Linked DNA regions of Arabidopsis thaliana. The protein of the gene in region 3 binds, or shares a complex with, the protein of the main gene of each other region. Each region holds a gene or a part of one and is shown on either strand. Other genes may lie near its edges.

Region 1 (6,384 bases), 6.3 Mb from region 3:
GAGACGACGACTGAGACAGTTTTGTAATGGAAACTTCACGATATTCAACCAAATGTGTTGAAATAGGATTTTAGCTTCATTTGAATTTCTTTATTTTGGTTTCATTTTTGGTCTCATGGTTCCTTTCTCGACCACTTTATAACGGAACTAAAAAGTGAGACGTAGCAAATTATATTCATTTAAAATTAATGTTCGTTTTTTGCGAATAAAGTAATACCAACAGGCAGGCTTTCCACCAAATCTAACCTTGTCCAGTTGGTTGTGTACTGGTTTAGGCCTCTACACTTCAGGACAAGAGTTCGACTCGTATTTGGTACCAAGTCGTGCCATCTCTTTCTCTCTCTCTCTTTCGCCTTCACAATCCAATATCCATGTCGATGTTGTTGTATTGAACTTAAAGAGAGGTAATAAAAATTACCTTTTTTTTGAATAAGATCAAAATTTTATATTTTTTTTACTGTAATCACAATTTCTTCCTATAGCTTTAATTTTCAACTTTGCTCAGCCATTTTGGGCAGGCCTAAATTTACACCAAGTAGATTAAGACCAAATGAGAATATATAACGTAACACAACAATGGAATTGGTTCCGCATAGTGCATCAAATATCAAAAGCATACAACTTCAAAAAATAATACACGAAATATAAAACAAGCCTGGGAGAGGGAGAGGGAGAGAGATTCATCATTATAAATTGTAATACATGATTTAAAGTTAACGAACCAAACTAATACCTAACATACAATATTATCACCAAAAACCAAACAAACACTCACATTTTCTCTCAACGGGCTTCGTTTTGTTACAAGGGATGATAAGGGACGTAGCCCAATAAGCCCGTGACGTTAGCCACTACTTCGTTGCATTTTGACAAAAGGTTGAGCATCTGGTGAGAGATGTCCCCAGCGCTAACCGCTGGGATCGGGCCACGGAAGTTTCTTGAAGGTGGCATTGGTGGTTCGACGTGGTCTACTGGTTTAATGGGAAGTTGTTGTGGTTTTGTGTATTGTGGAGGGAGAGGAAGAATTGGAGGCAATGTAGAAGGAGGAAGCTGTTGATGATGAACAACGTTTTGAAACTTCTTACTAACAAATTCCATTGGAACAGATGATGATGATGAAGAAGGTCCACTGTTTCTATTCAAGGTCATTGTGACCTGTGGTGGCTCGGTGTTTGCTTTACTCGAGTTTTCTTCACCACCTAACATGAATTTGACTCTTACGGCTGCGCGGTTACCGTTTCCATTGTTGCTACTACTGCTCGGGTCATCAACTGGTTTCTTCAAACAGGATTTGAGGTTGACGTTTGGTGGCGGTAATGTTGGTTGGTGAAGCGGTGGTGCTTGGTCCAACCACTGGCTCTGTGGTTCATCATCTTCCTTGGTGTTTTCTGGCTCACGAGGCTCGGCTTTAGGAGCATCCACATCACGGAGAAAGTACTTTACATTCACGTTTCCAAATAGAGTGTTGTTTCCTGTTGCATATCGAAAAGCAGTCTGGGCATCGGCTTTGTACAGAAAGACAACACGGCAGGTCGATGATTTCCAGAAAACCCTAATGGCGGATTGATCTAACAGCCCGAAGCGACCAAACCTCGCCTTTAGCAATGCGGCTGAAGGGAGAGATGTGCCAGGTGGGAATTTCATGACCAGCATTGTTGGCTCAACCACCTTAACTGATGGAGCTGTTTTCTTCCCGGTTTGACCTCTGGCTGGTTTTGCTTGTACCACCCTGCTTGGCTCTCTTATTGGTTTTATACTATCCTTTGCTTCTCGAATGATCTTCTTTTCAGAAGCCATTGATTTCAACTGATTAGTTTTCTTCAGCTTCTTAGCTGATGGGATTTCATCTTGACGATCAGAAGAGAGCCGTTTTTTTCCAGCTTTTGATGGGTCTTCGGTTCTCTTCACTGTCTTGACAGGTTTTGAGGGTTTTGTGTCTCTGGCATTTTCGACAGTAGCATCAGAGGAAGATACAGACAAGCTTTTCTGGTAATTAAGTGAACGGAAACGGAGAAAAAATTTCCTAGCAGTTCCAAAAGAAGCAACGGATAAACCGTGGAAAGGGTCAAGAGAGAGATCTTGCAGATGGCTCAACAGCTGCGGCACATCGGCTTCCATATAGGTTTGTAAATGCGCTGAACCAAGCTGGGACAATTTCTTGGCCCCAGCTTCCCCAGAATACAAATTTTTTCTCTTCACTGGATGGTCAGAATCAGGCTCTTTCTTCTTTTTCTTTTTCTTTTTTGGCTCTGAAGGAGGATTCTCCGAGCTCATTTCACTTGAAGATCGTTTAGCAACTTTGACTTTCTTGATTACAGACCCTGTGGAACTTTTCCCCTCAGATGCTGAGGTATGAGACTCAAGCAGAGGCTGGAGAGAACTTCCAGCTGATCCAAGATCTGTTCCAGCTTCTTCTTTAGGTTTAAGACTCGCCATAGCTTCAGATTTCCCATGCTCTGGAAGTACAGCAGCTCTTTCTTCCATTCTCTCCTTTGATTTTTCAGCTAGACCCTTTTCTTCATCAAGAGAGGGCTTTGAAGCTGAAAATTCTTTACCAGGAATAGCTGTATTTGAAGAGGCAAAATCCATGCTGACGATCCCAGACTTCTCATCTTTCATTGGAGTTTGAAGCGTCGGAGCTCTTCTCTGCAGCCCAAAATCCCCATCCAAAGATCCATCAATTCCCTGGATATGAGAAGCTTCTGAACTTGCTTCAATTTCGCCAAACTGAACAGACTTATCACCAGCTTCATCCCTTCGTTTGAGAAGATACTTGTCTTTTTTTTTAGAGACCTTAACCTTTGTGGGTTTTTTAGAGCTCTTAAGGTCACCTAGCGTTTCTGCTATGACCAGTGGGCCACTCAAGGGAGCTGGAAATAAGAGAAATTGAAACAACACATCACCCACCAAGAAAATGAACAATAAAGCAAACAAGGTAAATGTATGCGGGACTCTCCATAGTAGAAAGAGGCGCAGAATTGTTATCAGGCCACGTTTTCGAATGCACAGTTTAGCATCAATGAGACTTCACTATTCTTTCAAGCATGCTATGTAAAGAATTCAACTACAAAGATATAAATCCTAAAATCATGAGCACAGAGGATCTAAAAGTAAAACCCTAAAACCAAGTTACAGTATCTAATATCTATGTAACACATATGAAAGCTGTTTCAAGTCTACAACGAAAAAACCCATATACAAACAATAACATGATTTTCTGAAAAGTGGCTAATACCTCGAGGCGGTGCTCTATTATGAGGTTCCAGCGTACTCACTGAACTGCGGGGTGATTTTGTCCCAAAGGCCTGTGCATAAGTTTCATCAAACTCCTCAAACACTGACTTGCGGAAAGCAAAAACCACTGCTTTCTTCTTCATAAACTTTAAACTGTCTGGATCACACTCTTGAGGTGCTAACGCCAATTGCTTCACAAACGAAATGGTTTCAGCGGGTAAAAACTTATCCCTAGAATTCTTAATCTGATCAACAGAGTAAACGGCTTGAAGCTCGTAATCAGGCACATCAACAGCAAAGTAATCTTCCACATTACTAGGCCTAAAGTTATAAGGATTCCGACATTTACAAGTCAAACCAAGAGCTGACCTTCTACTCGCCTCATCCTTGGCTTCCTCCACAGCTCTCACAAAATGCTTCGAAACCGTCTGCTGTGATTTCTCCTCTAAATTCGGTTCGAAAGGAATAAGCTCAGCAGGATCAAACCAACCATAACTACTATCACCGAAAAACGCAACAAGAACATGATCAATCCTCCTCATACGACGAACAGAAGGAGACGCAAAAGCTTCATTGAATATATGACCAGGCCACCAAGGATGAGACTTTACCTTTCCCCAAACCAAATCTCCAACTTCAAACCCATAACTCAATGCCCTCGAAACTCCAGAACCCATTTTCTCACTTGCAACATAATCATCAAACTCAGATAAAAGAGATTTATAATCCGAAACTCCTTTTTTCTCTTCCTTCAAACCCAAATCTAATTCCTTCTCATCAGCTTCAGAACCAAGCTCACTAGATTGATCATCAGAGCCATCTTCTTCTTCTTCTTCTTCTTTAACCTCAGAACTCTCATCATCCTTATCAATTAAAACATCCTCGCTTTTAATCTCATCTTCCTCCTCACTCCCTACGACACCATCTTTCTCCGATCTCTCACTTTCGAGAACCCTAGCGTCATTTGTAACCGCCGAATCTAGCTCCATAGGTGAAGAAGCTTCAACATCATCATCAATGGCTTCGTGAACATCCCCGCTCGAATCAACTACAGTATCATCTGGAGTTACCTTAGGATCCTGAATCGAATCCGTTTGTTGAACAATCACAGCATCCTCGTTCATCACCGGGATTAATTTAGTTTTGTACATTACAAATCGATAAGAACCCTAGCAACAACAACAACGATCCTCCGATGAGAGATTATCCGAATTTGGTTCTCGAGGACACCAAATGAAAGAGACGGATTATTGTTAAAAAAAAAAAAAAGCTAATCGAGAGAAAGACAATAAATTAGATCTACTGATTACTATTGAATTGGGCTTACCCGGCCCATATAAATATTTATAAGCCCGTTTAAGGAACCGACGTCGTATGATCCAAAAAGACCTGAAAACAATCGCTCCTTCTTCCTCACCTTCAAGCGCCGTCTTCTTCTTTGTTTTTTGCTCTCGGCTGATCTCTGTATTGGGTACGTTTCTTATCTCGATTTCAGTGTTCATTTGTTTTTTTTGTCTTTTCTTATGTAGCTATGAGACAGGATCCAGAACGATGCAATAGATATAAGAGAGCCTTCAGGAAAATTTTGCCATTTTTCTCCATTTCACCTGTTGTTGGGTTCTAGATTAAATAAAACTAGAGTATAGTTAATAATTTCTATAGGCATGGTTTTAGATTTACATTATAGTGGGAGTGATGATTCAAAGTTTTAGTCTTTGAACATTTGGCCATGGTAGTTTGTTGTTTTAATACTTGTTTAGGGTTAACAAAAAACCTACTTTTAGATCTAAAGACTCAGATTTTTCACATTTATTTATCGACTTAAAGTTGGAATGTGTTAAAGACTGATAGCTCTCTCTATATGGCTTTCTTTGGCAGATTTTTGATATAAGGTTTGAAATCATGGAGGTCGTTGATATTGATGCCCGAGCTGCTAAGTTAGGGATTGATTGGTCTCAGGTTAATTTTGATTCCATCCAACTTCCTCCTGGAGAAGACTTTGGGATCGAGAGGTGAGATTTTCCTTTAGATCTCTGGTTGTTCATATACGGTCACTTCTATTTCTAATCTTCTTGTGTTTATACGATGGGATGATTTTATTCTAGGTTTTGCTATTGTATGTATGAAAATTTTGTGTATTTCGAATTGGTTTATCTCTTTCCTTGATGGTGCAAAGCTTATTATATTTATACATTTTATCTATGAACGTATGAAAAATGGAACTGATTCGTTATACACTTTTTTTTTCTGTGATGGTTGTAGTGATGATGAAGCTGTTTACCAGGATGACCAGTCTGAATTCGACACTGGATTCGGTAACATTATCGTGGTCGATCACCTCCCTGTTGTTCCCAAGGAGAAGTTTGAGAAACTTGAAGGTGTTGTCAAGAAAATTTACAACCAGTTAGGTGTGATTAAGGAAAATGGACTGTGGATGCCTGTTGATCCCGATACCAAGATGACATTGGGCTACTGTTTTATTGAGTTCAACACTCCTCAGGTTATTTATCTACTTGATTAGCTTAATCTCTGTTTTGTTGGATTCTGAAGCAATAATGTCGGCGTCATATGTTTCAATACTTTATTTCTCTTGTTAGAAAGGAGCCCAAACTAGGTTGTTCTTAATGGTTGAGTATTTCCTAAGAGTTTCTCTCAATGTCTGGGGCTCTTTGCAGGAAGCACAAAACGCTAAGGAAAAGTCTCATGGCTACAAGTTGGACAAGTCTCACATCTTTGCTGTAAACATGTTCGATGATTTTGACAGGTTGATGAATGTGAAGGAGGAGTGGGAGCCTCCTCAGGCCAGGCCCTACGTCCCTGGGGTATGTGTAGTTTTCATCATGTTACTCCCTGTACCTTGAATAATTTTCTTTGAATAACTTCCATTGTGTCTGTGTAATCACTTCTTTATTTTGGTAATTCGCTGATTTATTTTGTGTTTGCCTGCTGCGTTAGGGTTAGGATCTTTTTACGTAATTGATGTATACTAACTAATAACTATAATTTCATAACTCTTGTTTCATGTATATATTTTAATTCATTGCAGCCTTTTGTGGTGCTAATTGTCGTTACTTATATGGTGTTTGTTTTTTCAGGAAAATTTGCAAAAATGGCTTACTGATGAAAAAGCCCGAGACCAGCTAGTCATTC
Region 2 (4,678 bases), about 15 Mb from region 3:
TGCAGTGGTATTGAGGCTAAGCAGCCTAACTCTGCTATCCGTAAGTGTGCTAGAGTTCAGCTTATCAAGAATGGAAAGAAGATTGCTGCCTTTGTCCCCAATGATGGTTGTTTGAACTACATCGAGGAAAACGTAAGTCACATGAAATGACTATTCAATCATCACACTATGGATTAGTTTCATTCATATGCTGATACATTTCTTGTTTATGGTGTTGCAGGATGAGGTCTTGATTGCTGGATTTGGTCGTAAGGGTCACGCTGTGGGAGATATTCCCGGAGTTAGGTTCAAGGTCGTGAAGGTTTCTGGTGTTTCACTCTTGGCCCTCTTCAAGGAAAAGAAGGAGAAGCCAAGATCTTAAGCAACCCGTACAAAAAGCTTCAAGCTTTTGATATGGTTTTTGATAGTTCAGTTTAAGTCTTGTTCTGTTCTACTTTATGTTTCAAGAACTTGATTTTGTGTTACATTTTATGAGTTTTTGAATTAAGACATGATCGTTTAATGTTATTGGTGTTTAATCAATTTACTCTTTTAACTTATAAGCCTCATCTTCAGTTGCGACTAACTTTACTGTTATCATTGGTATTTCCAGTTTTGGTTTTGTATGTCATAAAGTTAAGAATTAGTCTCATCACACGAATGTTACTTTTATTTATCGAAAACCTACTCTCATCATAAATCCTAGGTTACGTTTATTTATCGAAAATCTACTCTCATCATAAGACCTAGCTGATGATATCTGATCAGACCCTAATCTCTGAAAGTTAAGAGATGCCGTGACTCAATCAGTCATGTTGTTTTTTTCCGTTTGGGGCAAACATACTCGAGTCTGTAACTTAGAAGAGAAGGTCCAAAGATGCTGTATTTCCCTGCGCTGCTAAAGGCAGTCTTTGCGTCTTCCCCTCTTTTGAACACAACTTTGGCTCTCTTACCCTTCATCGTGACCTTAGTCTTAGACTCATGGAGAGGACCGTAACGTTTAAATATCTCGTTCAGCTTTTCTTCAGATGGAACCGAACCTGAATCCGCAAAGTTGAGGACTAAAGCATAGGGTGGTAATGAATCTGCAGAACAGTCCTTGAGACCAATTTGCTCTTTCGAGCCTGAGCCAGTGATTTCTTTATTTGCAGGTAATATCTCTTCTTCTGCAGAGTCTTTCTTATCACAAGGTTCTGATGTCTCAGTGATACTTGCCTTCTTTGAGTCACCATTGAGTTTACTGCAAAACAGTTCATTAATGAACTTTTCAAAATCTTCATAATTCGAGGGGTCTATGTTGATTGAATCAGGTATTCCCGTTGAGGTATTGGCAGCGTGAAGGCTTGAGAGCATCTCATCAGGAGAAGAAATCTTTCTTTCAGCAAGCTCTTGATGTCTCGGCTTCTTAGTCTTCTCATTCTCAACTTCCGTAGATTTAGAAGCACGGCAAGGCTTAAGTGTAGGAGTTAAAGAATTCATCTCATTTTCCACTCCAGTTCCATGACACGGTTCAGCCGTCTTCTGCAGTTTATTAGTATCACCCACTGACAAAAGACTTTCCTCATTAGAGTGTTTAGACACTGAATCCTCCTTTTGCTGACTTTTCTTGATCCTTTTCTCAGACTTACCAGATTCCGAAGACTCAACCTTACGCTTCTTTTCAGAATGCGACTTACCATCCAATTTCTCAGTTGATCTGCTCCCACAGCGTTTCTTTACAGTCAAATCTGACAAAGTCTTCTCCTTTGTCTGTTCAGCATTATCTTTATAATCTGTCTTTCTCTTTTTGGCAGATATTCCTTCATCCATATTTACTTCTGGGAGAGAAGCCAGGGTCGCAGCAGATTCCACCGACCTTACAAATGTTTCATAGTCAATGAAGTGAGAATAGTCTTTCCATTGTTGAAAAGCCAATACCTGAGCTCGGTTAATCACAAATTGCAGCTTCTCAGTCGCATCATAGCAAGGAAAGCAAGCTAAATGCTTCATATAATCCACAAGTTTAGCAGGTTCAAAAGAGATTCCATCCGATAACTTGTCTCCACCGTATCTAACACTTGAGTCCTCACGAATTCCAGCATTGATTATGTTCTGAGTCTTGAGTTTGTTATAGGCTTCCTCTGAAACACAAGAGCAAGATAAACCAAACTCTACTCTCCTTGAAACCTCATCCAAAGCACAATCAATAGCATCACGAAACTCAGCGGAGTTACTCTGCTCCTGCATTTGAGAGAAATTCTGATGAAAAGGCTTTATCTGAGATGCATTATTCCAAGCAAATGTACAATCCCCAAAATACGCAACCAAGACATTTCCTTTCTTGAAGTGCCTCATCGCAGCTTTAGAGGCAACAGATTTATCAAAGACCAGTCCAGGCCACCATGGATAACTTCTTAGTTTAGCCCAAACCAAATCTGAGTCAAAAAGCTTCAGATTCTCTTTAGAAAATCCTTTCTTATCCTTGTTCTTAAGCAGATCTGAATCAGCATCAAAATCAACCCCGTTACAGAGACTATCCTTATCATCACGAGCAGAGACAAATACTTTTCGCTCAACTCCAGTGAGGTTCACTACCAAGTCCTGAGCTTGAAAGCTCATGGGATCAGCTAGGGTTTCAGATGTGTGAGCCATACCGTAGTCAAAACTCGACGCATTTATGGCAAAATCAGCGTTGGAGTCAGATTCGACTCCTTCTGGTTCCGTAGACATAACGAGCACCAACAAAAATCCCTAGACAACGAAGAAACAAAAAAAAGCAGAAATTGCTTCAGTATATGCTTCCATTAAAGCAAAAACAGTACATCATACGAGAGACGAAGAAAATAATCGGAGAGCAAAAAAGGTGGACAGAACCTCCGGTGGCGGTTACGGTTTCGCCGGCGACGAAAGCTTAGATTTTGGGTAATGAAGAAATAACAGAGTTTCTTTCGTTTTGAGGGGGTTTATGAGAGAGCTACGTGTACGTCACGAATTATTCCACGTGGCAGTACTTGATTTTGTCTCGACTCATCACAACCATACATTATTACATTGAGTGAGGTTCAAAATTTTCAAACTTTTGCTTTTCCCTCTTTATTTGAACTTGAATTTGACTTGTTTTTACTGATATTAAATAGAATAGAATTTTACTACAAGTAGATTAGAATTTTACTACAACTAGTTTATTTCTAAAGAATTAAATTTGTTAATTTTATGTTTAATGAGAACCAAATGTTTTCCTACAACATTAAGACACTTTTTTATAAGTTTTCTAAACTTGTTTAATAGTATGTTTTACTAAAAAGTGATATTTTGAAAAACCTCTTTTGGGGATATTTTTAAATACTCCTCATAGACTAACAAAATAATATATCAATTCATATATAAACACAATAACACCGTTTATTGTGTAAAGTGCTTAGCTCTCTCAATGGTCAAAAAATGCAAAATCCATTTTCTTGTTATGTCTTTGTCATTTTTATTGTTATGTCATGTGGCGTCTCAACATTGAGAGGATATTTTGGGAGCCAGTAACGTTCGAGATTCAAAATTGTGGATGAGATTTTAACGATTGAAACAAAAGTACTAAAAAATAGTCGTTTATTAGCACATGTACTCTTTTTTTTGTTTGGACAGCTATTAGCACATGTACTCTTATATGTATGTATGTATATAAAAACGTGAATAGTGAGTGGAATAAGAGAAAGTAGTTAAAATTCAAAGCGATAAGAGTACCATTTTGTTTTTATTATATTCTATTCTATGGACGCGATTCCTCTGCGTTGTTTACCTATTCAAATGAAGTTCTAAGCCAAAAAAAAAATTAGTCGATTTGTTTTTATGTTCATAACACCCCACGGGCTAACTAATATGGTCCAAAACAATATAACAACAACAAAATAATCACGCAAAAATCTAAAAAACCAGCCTTGTGTCCATACTCCACCCACATATATAAGGAGAGAAACAAAAAGAGCGTAAGATAAATCAAGGAGAAGATTAAGAAAGATGGTGGCTGTTCAGTTGTTTACCTGGAAGCCATTGATTCTACCTTCTCAAGCTTTGACAAGAGATCGATTAGCTTCTTTTCACAGGTTTTGTTTTTGTAATTTCTTTCTTATACTTGATATTTCTGAAAACAATTGCATGGTGGTGACTTTATCCATAAGTGATAAGATGATGATTGTGAAGTTTGTGATCCTCAGAAGATTTTGAGTGTTTTTGTTAGAAACAAGCTCTTTATTTCCAAACAACTGATACAGATACTTAAAGAACACGGTATTTATCATTTAAGCGATCAATACTAAGTAACTCCTCTCAACAAATTCTATATTCTAAAAGAAATGCCAATGCCTCTGTTTATTTCTGTGTCTTCTCTTCTTTTCTTTATAATCCGAACCCTCTAGTTCCGTCAGCGTCTTCTTCGTCCTTATCTTCAAAACTTGCTTGGGCATATATCACAGTTTATTTTTGTTGTTTCTTCTTCCGGTGAATTTTACTTCATGTTTTGCTTACAGTAAATGTAGCCAAGTTCAATGGTTTCGATTAGAAAATGTGACGGTTTTAGTTAGGAGCTCTGAATTTGGGTTTAGAGTTTAGTTTCAAATGGAATTTGGGTTTGTAAGATAAAGGTATATCGTAAATTGATTCAAAATCTGGAAATTGTCATTCAATCAAAGCTCATTGGGTTGTGATGTTTACAAGTTGTGTATCTCTGATT
Region 3 (6,501 bases):
TGATCAAGGCCAAGTTAGGAGGAGAAACACCGATTCCGAGTCCGCGAAGCTCGGAAATTTGCGTTGTTGCCGCAGTACCGAAGTATTGGAATCCTCATCCTAGTTGCCACGAGCATGATTATTCAAGGTCCGTCCACAAAACCTCAAAGATAGAAGTCTACAGCTTCTCCGAGAACTAACGCAAAAACGAACAAGCAAACATGAACAAGCAAACATGATTAAGCCTAATGTTCTGAATTTGATAATTGAATTTGAAATTGGCCAAATATCTTAATTAACTCTTATACATTATCTGGATACATTTTTTGTGATCAATCAAATGGTTGAATTTGTTCATTGTCTTAGAACATTTATGTTGTTGGATCACTAATTAGCATTACGTAAATGATTCAGTCTCGACGAGACTCCCTTTCTAATAAAAATCTCCAACCTCCCTCTTTGTATGGCTTCATCAAACATTCAATACTCGTCGAAAGGATTTTGAAAATTTTGTTTGTAATATAATAAAATTAGTGGGCTTTCAAGAGAGTGATAAACCAAAAGCCCACTAATGGGTTTAGTATCAAAGTTGGTAAACTTTAAAAAAGTCTACACAAAAACATAGAACATCGATCTAATTCTGTCTACCCTACGACAAGATCATAGTATCACCAAGACATTAACCTCTCAAAATACTTTTGTTATGTTTTGCAGAAACCATAAATATCCTAAAACCTGTCCTGAAAGTTCTCAACCAACAAAATAAAAACATAAAATCATAATCCTAAGAAGATCTCATCTCTATCACTTTCTCCAACAAATTTACCATCTCACCTTCAAGTTTCACTTTCACTTCTTCAGTCATTCCTCCTTCGCATCCATCAAGTAACAATTTCATCTCATCCAGCTTTTTCTTCAGATATTCCACCTCCATTGTCGTCTCTGCAACTTCAGCTTCAGTTTTCTTCTCCTCTGTTCTCTCATTTGGATACTTGAGTCTGAATTTCACCGTCGAATTAGAAGTAAACGGACATTTCTCTAGTGAGGATTCAAAGGCTTTTTCTCCATCAGCTACATCCAAGAAAGCCACATGGGCAGAGAAGTTGTTGTCGACCGTATCAGTTCTCTCTTTGTCCAAAGCTCCAAATTTTTCATATATTTCAATCAGATCTTCCTTTTTAGGCAAACTTGAACCAGGACCAAATGTAACATATAGCTCAGCTCCTGAAAATTCCGTCTCAGTTTCTTTCTTTTTAGACTTTCCCTCTCTCTTCTTTTTCTTCTTCTTCTCGGGTTTCTCAGTCTCATTCGGGACTTCTTCTTCGTCGTGTTTAGGCTTCTTCCGTTTTCTCTCTTTCTTGGTTGATTCAACAGACTCTTTCCGGGTTTCTTCTTCTTCAACTGCTTCTGCCTTCTTCTTTGATTCAGGATTCTTACGTTTTCTCTCTTTTTTAGTTGACTCACTTGGCTCTTTCTGAGTTTCTTCTTCTCCATCTGATTGCTTCTTTGATTCAGACTTCTTACGTTTTCTCTCTTTCTTTGTTGACTCATTAGCCTCTTTCTGGGTTTCTTCTCCTTCACCCCCTTCCTTCTTTGATTCAGACTTCTTACGTTTTCGCTCTTTCTTCATTTTCCCATGCTTGTCTGTCTCATTCTCTTCTTTACCAGTTACCTCTATCTCCTCTGCTTTCTGCTTTGCTTTACCCTTCTTATCTTTCTTCTCTTTCCCCTTAGTTACAGGCTTACCCATCTCACTCAGTTCTTCCTTTTCTTTATCCGAACTATCATAGCTCCCTAAGAACTTGTGATTGGCTCCATCATGATATGTGAAGCTTCTATAGATGGTCATGAATTCTCTTACCATGTCTCTTGAGCTACTGTCTTTTGGATATTGTGTGCCAAGAGCAGCTACACGAATTAGATCCTGCATTTCCTTTGGTGTAGCTCCCAACCTCAGAAAGTCGACGGCATTACTAAGTTCCCTAGACAGTTCTTCTTGACCTAATCCATTATCAGATGATGGTTCACAAGGTTTATCCAACGTATCTTCTTCCACTTCCATGAGGCTATCACTAGCATCAGTCACTCGCTCGTCTACTTGGCTCTGACTTGAAACTTTCGAAGATTCAGATTCGATTGTACTCTTTTTTCTTCCTTTCCGTGAAAAATCTGACAAGAAATCAGGCGAGAGATACTTGCTCTTCTTCCTCTCTCTCTTTGATGTTTGTGTAGCGGTCTCGCCATTTTCAGTACTCCTTTCAACGACTGAATCATCAAACCTTACCTTTTTCCGCAGCGAAGCTAATGAAGTTGAATCGATATTTATTTCCAGATCTGAAATCTCTTTTTCCTCAGACTCTTCTTTGTCTCCACTCCCATCATCATCGCCATCATCCACATCCATTTTCTTCTTCTTCCTCGAAGTTTTGCCTTTGCTACTTTCTACCACTTGCTTGTTACCACCGTCTTCAATTGTAGCTACTTCACTCTTTCTTCTCCTCCACAGTGCAGTAGTAGTTACATTTTCAAGATCACCATTAACTTCATCATGGCGTTTTGTTTTCTTCCTACCCGACTTAACATTTGACTTTACATCTCCATCCGCAGGTTCTGTCTCAAACCTAACCTTAGCAGCTGACTCCTTCTCAATTATTTCAGTAATGCTTTTCTCCTTCCTTCTGTGGGGAAGCCTATGATCAGGAAAACCAGAACACTTCTCTAACGATCTCTGAAGAGACGACGACTCTTCATGATCCAAAGCTGCTACTTCTTCTACTCTAGACCGTTTAGCACGCCATTGTAACCCATCATTAACATTCTTTTCTTCATCATCATCATCATCATCATTGTTCTTGTCTTCAAGTCCTGGAACTGATTGAGGTTCATGATACTCAGTCAAACCATATCCTCTATTAGACCGATAAAACGCAGATACCTTCCTTTTCAATATCTCCAGCTCAAGCAAGCCACTAAAACTAACAGTCTCTGCAAAACTCTTAACATCTTTAAGAATCTCTCCATGTTTACCAATCAACAACGACGAAATCATTTCCCGTCTCACATCACGCACCAAAACACCTTCTTTAATCCCAGCATTGTTAACTAAAGGACTATCAAACTCATGCTTCTTCTCCTCAGCACAATCACATACCAATACACGCTCAATATGTCTACCAATTTCTTCAACCGCCTCTTCCACTGCACCTAGAAAACTCCGCGAATTACTCACTTTCGAACACTCTTTGAAACTCTCTGCAAACGGTTTCAACTGCGACGCACCGCACCAAGCAAATGTCCCGTCTCCGAAACACGCCACAAGCAATTTCCCTTTTTGCTTTATCTTCAAAGCCAAATCTGAAGCATCTGATGGATCATAAATCTGACCTGGCCACCATGGATGATTCTTAATTTTTCCCCACACAAAATCTCCTACACAGTATCCATGCTCTTCTTCTTCTTCTTCTTCTTCTTCTTCTTCTTCTTCTTCTTCATCTTCGCCATCTTCTTCTTCCTCTTCTTCTTCTTCTTCTTCTTCTTCTTCTTCTTCCACATCTTCCTTCAATTTGAGCAAGGAAGAAACTCCATTCATAACACAATCTTCAATAACTCCAGATTCGTTCAAATTCTTCTCATTTTTCTCGTCAACATCAACAACAACATCAGACTTTTTCTCACCGTTGTCGGAAACCCTAACACCGTTCTCTTGAACAACACCATCATCTTTTAGGGTTTTCTCAGCTGATTCAATCTCTGCAGAACAAGGCTTAGGTCCCGCATCTTCTCCGATTCCCAAAACAACTTCAATTTCCATTTTTCTTCCCGACTGTAGAAAAAAAAAATCACAAAACGACAAACAAATCAGAAAAAAAAATCAACCTAACTATTTACACACAAACCCAACAATATCTCCCAAAAAAACAAATTTTGAAATTAGGTTAACTCTTACGAAAAACCTAGAAAAACGAAAATATAAAGTAACAAATTTTTTACCTGATTTTGAGCTCCGAGAGAAACGAAACAACAACTTTTCGAACAGCGACCGAAGAATCTTCAAGAAAAAACACTTCTTTGTAAGAAGAACAAAGACACTCTCAGAATCTCATGAGAAAAATCCTCTCTTTTTTTTCTCTCTGGATTTTGATTTGAGAGAAGATGAAACGCGGCGCAAAAATTTCCTTTCGGAGAAATTTAAGGGTACTTTCGTAATTAATGAGTTTTTTTTTTTGCTTACTTATCTGCTTTTTTTTGCCCCAGGAATAAGACAACGTTTTTAATTTATTTCCCTAAATCAGCCGTGTCGCTATCACAATAAACTGACTAGCTACGAGAGTGTAAAATACAGCTTACTCGCTATGTGTATAAGAACATCAGTGTCTAGATTCTTACGTGGCGGAAATCGGATAGAGAGTAGATAACACGTGTATATGAACGCGAGTGGGATGAAATAAGAGAGACGCGTCACATGCTTTCGATGATTGACAGCTGTAATATGCTTAGACGGCTAATAAGCAGAGTAATAAAAGAATGGAGATTTTGAATTTGGTATTTGAAACGACACAAATATTTGCCGTTTCTCGGCCCAGTCCTTTTCTTTTTTTGCTCGGCCCAAACTTATTATTACACAACACCAGTATCTTAAATTTAGTGCTTGTTGATTAAAGTCTTTTATTAAAACCTCAATCCTAAAGAGTAGGAATCTACCAAGTAAAAGGAAAATCAAAGATCTTTTCTTTTTCATTATTCAACTGACCAACGGTATTTTGATTTTAGACACTGATTATTTTTTCTTTTTCATTCACTGCATTACTTAAGTGGAGTGGTAACGAAAATCTTGGTTATATATATTGAATTGAAAAATATTTGAGTTGAACCCTTATATTCACTTTTTTTATTTTATTCAATTAAAATTTGACATTTAATAATAATAAAAAAATTAATTTACTTATAAAATCTAATTTGTTACTAAAACAAAATTATTTATCGGTTTGAGTTTTATTAAAAAAAGATAAATGTTTAGATTTTATGATTAAACTAGATTTAGTCATTGAATCAATCTTCACACTAATTCATATTCAATCTTTTTGGTCAACTTATGTTACACCATATAAGAAAATCGCTTAAATACATCTTTTGACCCAGTTTAAATGTTTTAATTTTTTTCGTTGAGACTATATAACATGTGAAATCTGTTAGGATAACATTTGATACATCTAAACGTAATTTTCTTGTTGTGTTAATTTTACACGAACAACACGTTCTCATGACATGATTATATGTAGTATCGACGGCGAACCAATATGAATCAACTGTATAATCTGTATTAGAACTGTAATACCAAGTAATAGTGATATATGAATCATATATTTCCCACTACTTAATCATAGTTTGAAAGAAAGCTCAATGACCTTGAACCCAACTTGTGTAAATATTAGTCCATCTCCAAAGCCCAAGGCCCAAGGCAACGTAACAGACGGATCATTACAGTGCCAAGGGAATTCAGACACGTTTAAAATAATTCCGAATTGTAAGTTGTGAACGACCCACCATGTTATCTTTTCATTTATGATTCACATGGGGAATTCACAATTCTCACACGAAAAACATGTGGGCAAAACTAAAAAGACATGCAACCTAATTCAACAAAATGTAATGGTTCATATTTGTACTTGCATAGAATGCATATATAATATGATTTGAGGATGGGTCAAAACTCCAAACGAAATGATTTGAGCATATGTTCTAGAGATTCAGTCAGAATATGAATGCTATACAATCTAAACACTATAAAGCAACCTGGTCATGAGGTGATCTACGTACTCTCTTTGGACGTGAAAAATTATATCAACGGTTTGTCTACTTTATAACTTTTTTATTTATCAGTAAATATGGAAACATTGATTAATTAAGATCCAAGTCTCTTGATGTGATGAGAACATATGATAGCTAAACCAATGCCTCTACTTTTTCTATCTATCCAAATCTAGATTGTGCACCTTAATCTTTTCTACAATATTTATACGCATATCATAAAAATGATCTTAATCTACATGATTAGAAATAAAGGCAAAAACATATATAGATGCAATAGCGAACTTGATTGTTCATATTTAATTAAGTCTCAACTAAGATGATGATCTCTACCACTATCACTATCACATATGTGAAATTACTTGTGTATATGCAAGGACAACATTTGATATGTATTGATTTAGTTTGATATATACATATATTTGATTATATATTTTTACAAGTGTGCCTCTTGGCTCTTGAGAAAAAGCTTCCTTGGCTAAAGCAAAAAGTTTGGTAATCCTTAAATACATATGCCGTCTTACTGTAGTGAACTCACTCCCTTGCCAAACTTTTTGTCGTCCACGAATAATATCCTTGTCGGTCCGATTATTCTTCTTTATTATTTTTAGTAATCAGATGATTTTTGGATCAAAAATTAACCATCAAATTTTATTTCTTCATGCGAATTGCTAAAGCTCAAGTTAATCTAGACGTTATAGCATTCTGATGTTT

What was found.
Region 1: AT5G40340 (region 3) and AT5G27650 share a complex: the UniProt entries of both Arabidopsis thaliana proteins name them as parts of the PRC2 (polycomb repressive complex 2) complex.
Region 2: AT5G40340 (region 3) and AT5G02950 share a complex: the UniProt entries of both Arabidopsis thaliana proteins name them as parts of the PRC2 (polycomb repressive complex 2) complex.

Annotation. Positions count from the first base shown.
Region 1 is NC_003076.8:9,783,512-9,789,895, reverse strand, and holds AT5G27650 (Tudor/PWWP/MBT superfamily protein), read right to left. Parts: upstream 4,490-6,384; 5' UTR 4,386-4,489; coding exon 3,236-4,385; intron 2,871-3,235; coding exon 802-2,870; 3' UTR 542-801; downstream 1-541. Other genes in the region: TIF3B1 (translation initiation factor 3B1), read left to right, coding at 5,137-5,246, 5,497-5,734, 5,832-6,056, 6,330-6,384. UniProt on the Arabidopsis thaliana protein: Together with PDP2, PDP3 and PDP6, interacts with MSI4/FVE and MSI5 to suppress FLC, MAF4 and MAF5 expression by regulating the function of the PRC2 complex and modulating H3K27me3 level, thereby promoting flowering.
Region 2 is NC_003076.8:688,963-693,640, reverse strand, and holds AT5G02950 (Tudor/PWWP/MBT superfamily protein), read right to left. Parts: upstream 2,957-4,678; 5' UTR 2,833-2,956; exon of another isoform or gene 2,710-2,832; 5' UTR 2,689-2,709; coding exon 790-2,688; 3' UTR 542-789; downstream 1-541. Other genes in the region: AT5G02960 (Ribosomal protein S12/S23 family protein), read left to right, coding at 6-132, 221-361; AT5G02940 (ion channel POLLUX-like protein, putative (DUF1012)), read left to right, coding at 3,967-4,052. UniProt on the Arabidopsis thaliana protein: May influence gene expression by regulating the function of the PRC2 complex and modulating H3K27me3 level.
Region 3 is NC_003076.8:16,130,891-16,137,391, forward strand, and holds AT5G40340 (Tudor/PWWP/MBT superfamily protein), read right to left. Parts: upstream 4,504-6,501; 5' UTR 3,970-4,503; intron 3,803-3,969; 5' UTR 3,791-3,802; coding exon 764-3,790; 3' UTR 507-763; downstream 1-506. UniProt on the Arabidopsis thaliana protein: Together with PDP1, PDP2 and PDP6, interacts with MSI4/FVE and MSI5 to suppress FLC, MAF4 and MAF5 expression by regulating the function of the PRC2 complex and modulating H3K27me3 level, thereby promoting flowering.